Pelodiscus sinensis: one gene and its partners. The protein of the gene in region 2 purifies or fractionates together with the protein of the main gene of each other region. This does not show direct contact. Links are inferred from orthologs where the notes say so. Each region holds a gene or a part of one and is shown on either strand. Other genes may lie near its edges. The genes, in order: FKBP5, MAP3K7 and TGFBR1.

What was found.
Region 1: the proteins of MAP3K7 (region 2) and FKBP5 purify together in Homo sapiens (affinity purification with mass spectrometry; 4 studies listed by BioGRID and IntAct, with this or other methods). This does not show direct contact. The link is inferred for Pelodiscus sinensis from reciprocal best matches to the Homo sapiens genes MAP3K7 and FKBP5.
Region 3: the proteins of MAP3K7 (region 2) and TGFBR1 purify together in Homo sapiens (affinity purification with western blotting; 3 studies listed by BioGRID). This does not show direct contact. The link is inferred for Pelodiscus sinensis from reciprocal best matches to the Homo sapiens genes MAP3K7 and TGFBR1.

What each region holds. Positions count from the first base shown.
Region 1 is NC_134737.1:12,704,437-12,708,258, forward strand, and holds the start of FKBP5 (peptidyl-prolyl cis-trans isomerase FKBP5), read right to left. Parts: upstream 2,757-3,822; 5' UTR 2,628-2,756; intron 1-2,627. UniProt on the Homo sapiens protein: Immunophilin protein with PPIase and co-chaperone activities. Component of unligated steroid receptors heterocomplexes through interaction with heat-shock protein 90 (HSP90).
Region 2 is NC_134713.1:65,052,446-65,056,045, forward strand, and holds the start of MAP3K7 (mitogen-activated protein kinase kinase kinase 7), read right to left. Parts: upstream 2,774-3,600; 5' UTR 2,210-2,773; coding exon 2,120-2,209; intron 1-2,119. UniProt on the Homo sapiens protein: Serine/threonine kinase which acts as an essential component of the MAP kinase signal transduction pathway. Plays an important role in the cascades of cellular responses evoked by changes in the environment.
Region 3 is NC_134712.1:146,268,744-146,272,565, reverse strand, and holds the start of TGFBR1 (TGF-beta receptor type-1), read right to left. Parts: upstream 2,272-3,822; 5' UTR 2,184-2,271; coding exon 2,102-2,183; intron 1-2,101. UniProt on the Homo sapiens protein: Transmembrane serine/threonine kinase forming with the TGF-beta type II serine/threonine kinase receptor, TGFBR2, the non-promiscuous receptor for the TGF-beta cytokines TGFB1, TGFB2 and TGFB3.

The DNA of each region.
Region 1 (3,822 bases), on a different chromosome or scaffold from region 2:
GCAGTGTTTACATAACTCCAGGTAACTCTCTCTCTACTACCATTTTATTAATCAAAGAAGATATTGAAAACACTATTTGCTCTCTTTTTTATAATACCAATTTCTAACACGGGTCCAGCCCCATCCACCAAGTGTTTAAACAAGTTTAAGCATCTTTCCAGCCTCCTGTAGGGAAAGTCTTGGTTTACATGATCTGTCCTAGCAAAAGGTGACATTTTAGGAATGAACATTTAAATAGAATCACTGCATTCATCTAATGAAAAGAGACTCCTCAAACTAGCACCTTAAAGACACTGTCTACAGTACACTGTAGAACTGAAAGTAGCAAAGCTGTTTGAGATAGTCAATTTCATTCACAGGCAGAGTCAATTTCATTCACAGGCAGGATCAATTAAATGGTGCACCTTGAATATAGCCCTGGAAATATGAACTGGAATTAACCAAATGGAAACATTACACATTATTTTTGAATTTATCCTTCAAAAGCTCTTATAGCTCACCAGGTAAATAATATTCCTTTGAGGCACTAATATGCATGTCTGAAATGCACTTTGCAGCAGGAAAGTAGAAACTTCACAAGAGCTATTTGTGCAATCGAATGTGAGAAAAAGTGAGCGTCTCCAATCATGTTTATTTTGTGTTATATATGAAAACTGTGCAGAGTCATGTTCTCAGTATTTACTTTTACAATCCATGGGACATTTTTTCGGTAGGTGTCATTATACAGGAACCTCATTTTGTGATGATACTATACTTTTACACCTGGAGGAAAAAAATATCCTCCTCTAGGGTTCTATTACCATGGCTGCAGACCATGTTTGGATTCACTGAAAAGCACTGCTGTAGGAAGCTGCAAAACAGTATTTCAGCAAAGGATACAGGGCTGCCTATAGTGAAAGTAGGCCACTTTTCAATCAGAAAATCTAGAAATGTTTGACATTTCTGTCAGAAAACAAGTGAAATCTCAGATACGGGGCAAAGAAGATTAATACAAATATAACTCTTTTAAATGATTGGGTGGATGCAAAGTCAATTTAACTTAAAATTTCCAGATTAAAAAATATATTAATATTTAATATCATAATTGTATCACAGACAAAAGTTAGAAGATTTAAAGCAAAGACTCTAAACTCACTTTTTTGTGCAAAGATTTTTTGTAAGCTGTTTTTGAGAGATTTTTTTGTGCTGAAGGTTCCTCAGTGGCTTTCAAACACCAGGTAGATTCAATATATTGTGAGAATTGAAACAATTTCCTTTTGTCAATTATCTGTTTAACTTAAAGATTAATTTCATCAGGTCCTTACACTTGGCTCTTTCTGAAGTCAACAACACCAGCAGACTCCATCTAGTCTCCCACAGTACAAGGGGCATATTACAAGACATTAAACTTTTTTTTTTTTACATACCATTCCTCCCAAGGGAAAAAAGTAACCCAGATCCTAAAGCAAAAAAGCCTAACACAACCAACGGACACTGTTCTTCCTATCCTTGCAAAATTGCATTTATAAAGATAACAGTGTTTTATAAAACAATTCAAAATCCTTGGCTAGAAGCAATATTTCAGAACCATAAGGCCAAAGGTAAGGACCAAATCCACATACACTCCAATCTCACACACCTTCCATACATAGGAGGCTCCTGTAGTACTTAATAGAGGTTCCTTAGCCACAGCACAAACAGCCCACCTGTTCTCCAGGTTCTTCCTGACGCCACATCCCACCAAGTTCCTTCGCCCCCTTTCCTCCATGCCTCCTTAATTCCTTTCCTCCCATGATAGGGTTACCACCTGGCTCTTACATAGCATTTGCGATACACATACACAATGCAATATTTGCAGCATTTCCTTCCACTGCTCTTCATCACCTCCTAAACCAGGGTCTCTATATTGCTGGTAAGACATTTACCTTTCCCCACCTCTAATATCATTAGCTCACAGACATTCACCTTCCTTCCCCCCCCCGCATTCCCCTTCTGTTCTGAAATGTGATTTGTCCTTTTCATATGTGTTCACTTTTTTTAATTGTATCCTTTGGTATATATGGTTGTGACTATTTTCTTCCACTATTTGATCTGAGGAAGTGGGTCTGGCCCCACGAAAGCTCATCGCCTAATAAACCATCTTGTTAGTCTTTAAAGTGCTACATAGCCCTGCATTTTGTTTCTTCTATATTTCTGGTTATTGGGGGGAGGAGGGGAAGAATTATATTCCTCCCCTCTCAGCAGAATTAAAATGTCACCATCCCATTTTTAAAACTTTCCCTATTGGGGGGTGGGTCATTCTTCTCCCCCCCCCCAAAAAAAACCCCACCCACACTCCCCAAATGTTCCTTTTGGAGCCCCCTCACATCCATCCAGGCATTAGTGATTCAGAGGGGGGCGGTGTGGGAGTGCGGGGGTTCAGAGGAAGGGGGGTTTAGGGGAGGGGGAAGGAGGAGGCAGGGGGCAATAGGGGGACAGGGACCCCAAGTTACCCTGGAGGGGGGGGGTCTGCCTCTCAATGGGGGGGGCTGCTCATGGGTGGCCCGGCCCGGGGGGGGGCAGCCCCTGACTATAAAGGGGGCTGGAGCCTCGGGGGGGGGCTCACCAGCCTCTGAGCCACGGCCCCGCCACCCCCCGGGGGCGCCTACCTGCCGCTCCGCTGGCTCCCGCCGCCGCGCTGCCCGGCTAGAACTGACACCGGGCGGCCGGCCGGAGCCGGCCCGAGTCCCCCGCCTTCCAGCGAGGCCCCGCCTTCCCGAGCGCCCATTGGGCGCCGCGCCTTCCCGTCTACGTCAAGGGCGCTCGAGCCGCGGCTTCATTGGCTACTTCTCCGCCCTGCATGTAAATGAGGCCGCTTCTGCCCGCCCCCTGCCGGGAGCAGAGCCCAGCCTCAAGCTTTTTGCGAAGAGCGCGGGGGGGGGAGCGCCGGAGAAAGTCAGTGCAGCCCCTCAAATCCTCCATGCAGCGCCGCGGCCCCTGTGCAACGCCCCCACGCCGTCCGTGCAACCCCTCCAAAACCTCAGTGCAACGCCTCAGGCCCGGTGCAATGCCCCCTGTCAGTGCAACCCCCCCCCATCTCAGTGCCACAGCTCAGCCCCAGTGCAACCCCCCCAAAACCTCAGTGCAACCCCCCCAAAACCTCAGTGCAACGCCTCAGACCCGGTGCAATGCCCCCTGTCAGTGCAACCCCCCCAAAACCTCAGTGCAACGCCTCAGACCCGGTGCAATGCCCCCTGTCAGTGCAACCCCCCCCAAAAATCTCAGTGCCACAGCTCAGCCCCAGGGCAACCCCCCCAAAACCTCAGTGCAACGCCTCAGACCCGGTGCAATGCCCTGTCAGTGCAACCCCCCCAAAACCTCAGTGCAACGCCTCAGGCCCGGTGCAATGCCCCCTGTCAGTGCAACCCCCCCCCCAAAACCTCAGTGCAACACCTCAGACCCGGTGCAATGCCCCCTGTCAGTGCAACCCCCCCCAAAACCTCAGTGCAACGCCTCAGGCCCGGTGCAATGCCCCCTGTCAGTGCAACCCCCCCCCCAAATCTCAGTGCCACAGCTCAGCCCCAGGGCAACGACCCCAAACCGTCACTGCAACCCCCCCAAAACCTCAGTGCAACGCCTCAGACCCGGTGCAATGCCCCCTGTCAGTGCAACCCCCCCAAAACCTCAGTGCAACGCCTCAGACCCGGTGCAATGCCCCGTCAGTGCAACCCCCTCACATCTCAGTGCCACAGCTCAGCCCCAGGGCAACGATCCCAAACCGTCAGTGCAACGCCTCGACCCCAATGTAACGCCCCCTAACGGTCATTGCAACTCCCCAAATCCTCAGTGCAACCCAGCCCCCCT
Region 2 (3,600 bases):
ACCAATGCCAAGAGCCTTACAGGGAATGAAAGACCAAGAAATCATCACATGATCTATCCCATTCCCAGATTCTGGCAAACAGGTTAGGGACACCATCTCTGCCCATCATGGCTAACAGCCACTGATGGACCTATCCTTCATGAATGTATCTAATTCTTTTATGAATCCTGTTAGCGTCTTGGCCTTCACCACATCCTCTGGCAAAGAGTACCAGTGGTTGACTGTGTAGTTTTTCTGCACAGTACAGTTTCAAAGTTCTATTAAGTAAATGTTTAGTTGTAACCTTTGAAAGAACCATAAGGTTTTGTTCAGAGTTATCAACATTTTAAGAGTGGTGAACAATCTCCATTCCTAGGGCATTCGTAATGCTGATTTTCTACTTTATTTAATGCTGTGGGTAAATTTCAGTAGAAAGTTTCTCTCCCCTAATAGCTTCTCATGCCTCTCAATATATTCCATATATTCCCTCCCCCTCCAATTTGAGAACATCTGATATAGGTTATCTTGTTTGTAGAAAGGGAAACAGTAAATAATTTTAAAGACTGATTAAAGCTAAAGTACCTTTTACAGATTTCTGGTGACTCAAGGTGAAAGTCAAAGATACCATGATACCTTGCAAACAGTGTTCTTGGAAAACATTACTTTTCAATAAAACTGTTTATAGTCTCCAAAAATACACTTCTGTGGATGCAGGCTAACTATCACTATTTAGCAAATGATGCTGTAAAGCTCAGAACTACTGGTTATCACATATATGAAAGGTGCTATACAAGTCTAAGTTCACATCTGTATAGTTATCAGTCAGAAGAAAAGATCTTTTTCTTTCAGCAGTAATTAATCTGCTAAAGAGCTAAAAACACATAGATTATAATGATGCCAATGTTTGTTAAGTTAATTTTTCTGCAAGTCAGCATATGTAAATCCTACCAAGTTCAATGGGGGTCTGCCCATGTACAACAACTTGACTTAAACAGAGACTTCACAGGGATGGAGGGATTCAGTTGAATCGAACAACTTGCAAGATAAGGGCCTTAATGAGCCGTTAATATATCTCCATTGAACCTTTCTGGAAAACAGATTGCTCTAGAGAATTTACCTCCACATAAAAACCAAACTAAGCCACAAATACTTTTATCAGAACTACTTCTTAATCAACTGCATACCAGTTTCAAAGAATTTAAGTCAGCTCTTCCACAGCCAATCTTTCGCTGAAACACTCAAGTAGGAAACTCCCCCCCCCCCAAACTAAGTACAACATAAATGGACAATTACGTCACAAGTAATCAATACCAAATGCAATAAAGGGTCACACATGTACTGATGTTAATTTAACAGCCACTGGATTGTACCATCACTTACATTAGTTCAATAGATCTAAAAGGAGTCTTTTATGCTTATGATAATGTAGACATAAAAAATTGGGATATGATCATCAGATAGATACCATAGTAATGGGTGTATAATAAGTACATTGAATCGGATGGGTGGAAGAGAGAACAGAGACTTACAAAAATAGACACAGACAAAATGGAAGCATTACAATATAGTTTAAAAATTCTCCATTTGACAGTGATAAAGTTGGGTGGTTATGATCAGTGAGTTAATCAGAACATATAGAAGTCCCACAAAGTCTGGATTAAATTTAGACTGTTTAAGTAAAAATTCACCTATACACTATGATTCTTGCTTCGTGTTTGGAATATCTAAGCTCCCTGGCAGCTCAGGTTAACAGCCTTGCATCTAGCCATACATGTTTTCTATGCACATTATTGCAGTATTTAGACACTTCCGAGAGGGAGAATAGCACAGAATTTACTATACAACGCTCAGCTCTACGTGCCTGTGAGTAGTCTCACGGCCTCTCTCATAAGGTTGGGGTTTTGCTTCGGTGTCTATGAGCAGAATCTTCACTATCACCCCCACACCTTTGTGCCAACTGACTACCACTCTCGCCCCTCCTTTCTCCCCACTTCCCCGCAGCTGGCTGCCTGCCAGGACCACAACACCTATCTAGTTTGTAAGCGTCTTTCGGGTCCTGTAGGGTGAAAGCTGCCCTACGAGCCCCAGGGAGCTGTGCAGAGGGAGGAAAGGGGAGTCTCTGAGCACGAGGTTCGCTCACCTCTTCCACCTCTATCTCCTTGTAGTCAATTTCTTCGAAGTTGAGGACCGGGGGAGTTTCGATCATTTCAGCGGAGGCGGCAGCAGACATCCCTTCGCTGTCAACTAGGGCAGGAGGGGGCAGGGCCGGCCGAGCCGGGCCGGGGCAGAGGAGCGGCTCAGGGGGGCCGCCTCCCCGCTGCACAGGCTCTGGGGAGCGAGGGCCTGGCGGAGGCGCCTCCTGGGCCGCCGCGCGGGGCGAGGCCGCATCCGCGGCGATCCGGGGCTACTGGGGCCGCGCGGAGCCCCCAGCCGGGGGGGCCTCGCTCCGCATCCTGCGCCTCGGGCGCGCCGCCCGCCCTAGGCCGCGGCCTCCCTGGAGCCTGGGACTCGCCTGGACTGCGCGTCCCCAGCAGAGGAGACGGGACGGCCCCGGGGGCGGGGCCCCGCGGCCTCCGCCAGCCCCGGCGGGGAGGGAAGGCGCCGCTCAGAGCCGAGCTCCGGCCGCCGCTACTGGCAGGGGAGCCGCTTCCTGCTGCCCGGCCGGGGGGCGGGGGGGAGTCTCCGGCTGCTGCTAAGGCCGCCGGAGCGGGGCCATGGCCTGGCGGCGGCTGCGGCTCCTCCCGGCTCCTCCCCTCGTGCGCGGCCGGCGGCGGCCCAGCTCCGCCCCCCCCCCCGCCAGAGCCGCCCGGCAGCCAGGGGGAGCCGCCTCCGAGCCGCACAGACGCCTGGGACACGCGCCTAGGAACGGCCCCGCCCGGCGCCGCGGGGGACTCAAGCGCCGAGTGGGGCACCAAGCGCAGCGGCTGTTGGTAGCAGCTCCCCCAGCAGCGGCTCCCGGGGCTTCGTGTACCAACGGCGGATCCCAGCCGTCCCTGGGAGGGATTGCAACGGGCACAGCAACCGCCCCCAGCGCTACGCTGTGCAATGGCAGGCGCTGGTCTCGTGGCTGCATGGCGAGCAGTGGCGGTGCTAAGGCTGCTGCCTGTTTGTCCTAGTACCACGGGCTGCACCGTGCCCCAGAAATGGGCCGTAACAGGCCCGGCTTGTAGGTGGAGAGTGCACAGGGCAACATGCACTGCTCCTGGCCAGAGCATTTAGCTCCACGCTCCCATTGGCAGGGAACCTGCTGCTGGCTGCTTCTGGGAGGCAGCATAGGCTGCAGTACCAGGAGCAGCAGGGAGTCTGTCTTAAGAATATAAGAATGGCGAATAGTAATAGAAATGTAGCTGTGTTAGTCTGGTGTCGCTGAAACAAAAAACAGGACTATGTAGCACTTTAAAGACTAACAAGATGGTTTATTAGATGATGAGCTTTCCTGGGCCAGACCCACTTCCTCAGATCAAAAAAAAAAAAAAAAAAAAAAGAATGGTGGTACCCAGTCAGACCAAAGGTTCATCTTGTCTCATACCCTGTCTTCTGACTGTGGCCAATGTCAGATGCTCCAGAGGGAGTGAACAGAAACACGTAATTATTAAGAGATCCTTCTTAGGGATGTTAAAT
Region 3 (3,822 bases), on a different chromosome or scaffold from region 2:
ATCCAACTTCACAGTTCACACTTAACTATTCCCAAGACAGCGTTTGTACCAGAGAAAACAATACCTCATATTGCATTATTTTAACGAGGTAGCTCACGTGTAAAACTGTTGTTTTCCTCTGCGTTTTTGTGAAGTAGAAGAAAGTTAAACTTTAAAGAGACACCTTTAGTTCTGTTAAAAGTTTCTGATTTCCTTTAAGGAAATAGCAAGGTGTCTTGAAAAGATTTAAAATAATTTGAAAATTTCAGACAATCTTATTCTGCTTCCCCATGCAAAGGATGTCTCTCCCCTCCTCACTAAGCAAATATTTATCGGATTACCAAGATTCTCTAATGAGAGATCAGAGATGTATTAAATATGAATGTATGTATTCTGCCTCATCTTAACCCATCCCCCTCCAAAAAAAAAAAAAAACCTTTATCTATACCAGGTCTCAAAGTCACATATCATCTAACACTGACTGCAAGAGAAAAGTATTGCAGTTTCCCAAGTTACACTTATTTCTTAAATTGAAACAAAAGTTACTTCTAATATTGCATACATTCTGTATTTATTTTGCTTTATCTTTTGGGCAAAAGAGTAAGCAATAACATACACAATAATATTCCTCTGTGTTTATGATAATTTGATGCATTACAGATGTGCATACCCAAAGATTATGTAACTAAGCAGGTTTATAGATGTTTGGTTTAACATTAATAAAGGATGAGCAGTCCTCTGGCACCATAGAGATCAACAAATTTATTAGGTTATGAGCTTTTGTGGGTAAAAATCCCATTTAAGTGGAATTTACAGAATTCCAACTCGTCTGATGAAGTGGGTTTTTACTCACAAAAGCTCATCTCCTTTATTAATGTATTAGGACATATTACTAAGTCCTACCACCAAACATATCCTGCGTTATTTGGAGAACTGAAGGTACAGTTGTGTTACTGTTCTTAGTTGCCCAAAGTCACAAACAACTCCCGCAACACACTTCAACCTATATGTTTTGACATCAGATTAACTGCAGGATTTTGCTGGGGTAGAAAGAACTAACTCAACATTCTAATATGCTGCCCTTATTTATAAATGTGTATTTTGTATACTAGTGGGTATAACAATAAGGTGCTTAAATACAATGCAGATTTACAACCTAAACAGCATTTAATCTAAGCAATCATCCAGGCCAGTTTTTAATCACAGAGTACATAATACCAGCATATTGCAAGTTGGCGCCCAACTCAACTAGAGCGAGTGGCTTCTTACTTCAGGAGACTCAAGAAAAAAAAGTGGTTTTTTTGGGGGGGTGGGGGGGAGATTTGTTTTGGGTTTTTTTGCGCTTTACCTAATTGGAACATTCAACATGTAGTTCTCTCCCCTCCACCACCACCACCCTTACATTTGTAAAGAACACTGGAACAGTTACATTGTGACCATAAGCCTGCAGCACATATTGGGATTTCCCCCATTTCGGTTACGAATACCGGGCACCTGGGACTGCAAGCGGAAGTTTTAAGGAACGACATTTTATCCGGACTGGCGCAAGTCTCTGTGTATCAGGGTTAAAGGGTCTGTCCAGCCACGCAAGCCCCAGATCACTAGCGGGAACGAGGAACGCGAGAGCGGCTAGCGCCAGGCGACTTCCAGCGCGCTCACAGCCCAACCGGCTGCAGAAGAAGAAAACCGGGTCCGACCAGACCCCAGCGGCTGGGGGCAGCCGGCCGTGCGCGGCGGCGCTGGGACACGATCGGAGGCGAGGGCCACGCGCGGCGCAGAGCTCGTGGTGCTGCCCCGGGACCAGGGGCGCAGACAGCGGGTGCCACAGCCGGAAGGGGGCGGGCGCGCTCGGTGCCTTTTTCACCTCGCTCCCGGACCCGCTGCGCTCCCCGCTCCACCCCCTGTTCCGGGCGCGAGGAGGGGGGGGGGGGGGGGGTCCGGCAGCCGCCGCCCGGCCGCTGTTCCTCAGCCTCGGCGCCTTTGCTCCGCGCGCACCCGGAGCCGCCGGACTCGGCCAACAAAGGGACGCGGGCTCCGCCCGGCCGGCCCCTGCGCCATGTTGTTGAAAGGAGCCGGCGGGGACCCGCGGAGCCGCCTCCCCGCCCCCGGGGCCGCTACTCACCCGCCGCCCCCGGGAGCAGCAGCGCCGCGGCCGCCAGCGAGAGAAAGACCCAGCCTGGCCGCGGAGGGGCCGTTAGCTCCATGGCGCTGCCCGCTCGCGCCCGGGCTCAGCCTCGCGCCGCCGCTTCTCCGATTCACACTCGCCCTTGCGGCCACTTTATAATGTAACTGACACGCAGGCGCCTCCTGATTGGCCGCTCCGGCCCGTAGCCCCGCCTCCCAGGCGGCTGCAGACATTCTGAACAACAACAAGAGTCTGGAGAAATACAACCGGCTCGGCGCCAGGCCAAGTGGGCGTGGCGGTGGGGAGGGTGAGCGCGAGGCGGGGAGAGTGACACGGGGGAGGTGGCTGAGCGCACTGCGTCTCCCTTCCCCTGGACTGGCGCGTGGACAAAAGGCAGCGTCTGGCCAGCAGCTCTCTCCGTTGTGGGCCTGGGGGGCAGGGCACGCGCGGGGGTTGGGGCGCCTCGCGCTCCAGCAGAGTTTGGACGCTACAGAGACGCCTCCACCTTCTCTCTCCATCCCGCTCATGCGGGCTGAGTGAGGCGGGGGGCGCTCTCTGCCTGCAGCGTGCTGCAAGGGTGCCAGAGCCGGGCCTGCTACTTGGTAGCGGAGCCGCAGGAGCTAAGTAACTAGGTGTCCGAGATAGAGCCGGCAGCGCCCGAGGAAGCAGGGTTGGAAGGTGCCCTTGGTAGTAAAACGCTCAACAGTGCTGGAGGAGGGAGGATTTGTGCACACCCAGTGCTCACACCTTCTCTATACAAGACAGTACTCTGAGAGTTTTTCCTCTCATGCAGCAAATCAGATTGACAGAAAGCAAGGAAATTCCTGAATAAGTCCTTGTAGCCATGCCTAATCATAGCACTGGAATGGACCTAGAAAGGTCCTCGTGTACCTTGCACTCATTGCAACACCAGCCACCATCTAGCCCACAGGTGTTTAACTTGCTCTTAAAGATCTCCAGTGATGGAGATTCCACAGCCTCTCTAGGCAATTTATTCCAAAGATTAGGAAAAACTTACTGTTAGAATAGTTAATGTCCAACCTAAACCTCCCTTGCTGCAATTTAGGCCCATTGCTTCTTGTTCACTCACCCAATAGTTTCTAAATCTTCAAGTATGGAAGTCACCAGGTAAGGTTACAATTAGGACACACCAAATGCACTTGCACCATTGAACCAAAAACAGTGGCCAATTCTCAGGCATTCTTAAATTTGCCTTGAAAATGCTATAGTGTCTAGCCACTTGAGTATTACCACGTACAGGCCCTATAGCTATGTTTCTGTGAGGCTGCGTCTAGATTGGCATGATTTTCCAGAAATGCTTTTAACGGAAAAGTTTTCCGTTAAAAGCATTTTCGGAACAGAACATCTAGATTGGCACGGATGCTTTTCCGCAAAAGCACTTTTTGTGGAAAAGTGTCCGTGCCAATCTAGACGCTCTTTTCTGCAAATGCTATTCATGGAAAAACTTTTCCGTTAAAAACATTTGCGGAAAATCATGCCTGTCTAGACGTAGCCATCCAGTGTGCTGATTTCTCCTGTTAAAGTTAACAGGAGAAATCAAGCTTCTGACTTTATAGACTAATTTAGGTGCTTGATTTTGCCACATTTTATTTTAATGCACATGGGATGGAGCGAGTTTGTGGGCTGCTTTTGGGAGTGGTGCAGTGCCAATGCAGGGTGAGCCTGCCTTAACCCTACTGCACCACCACCCAGGAGCC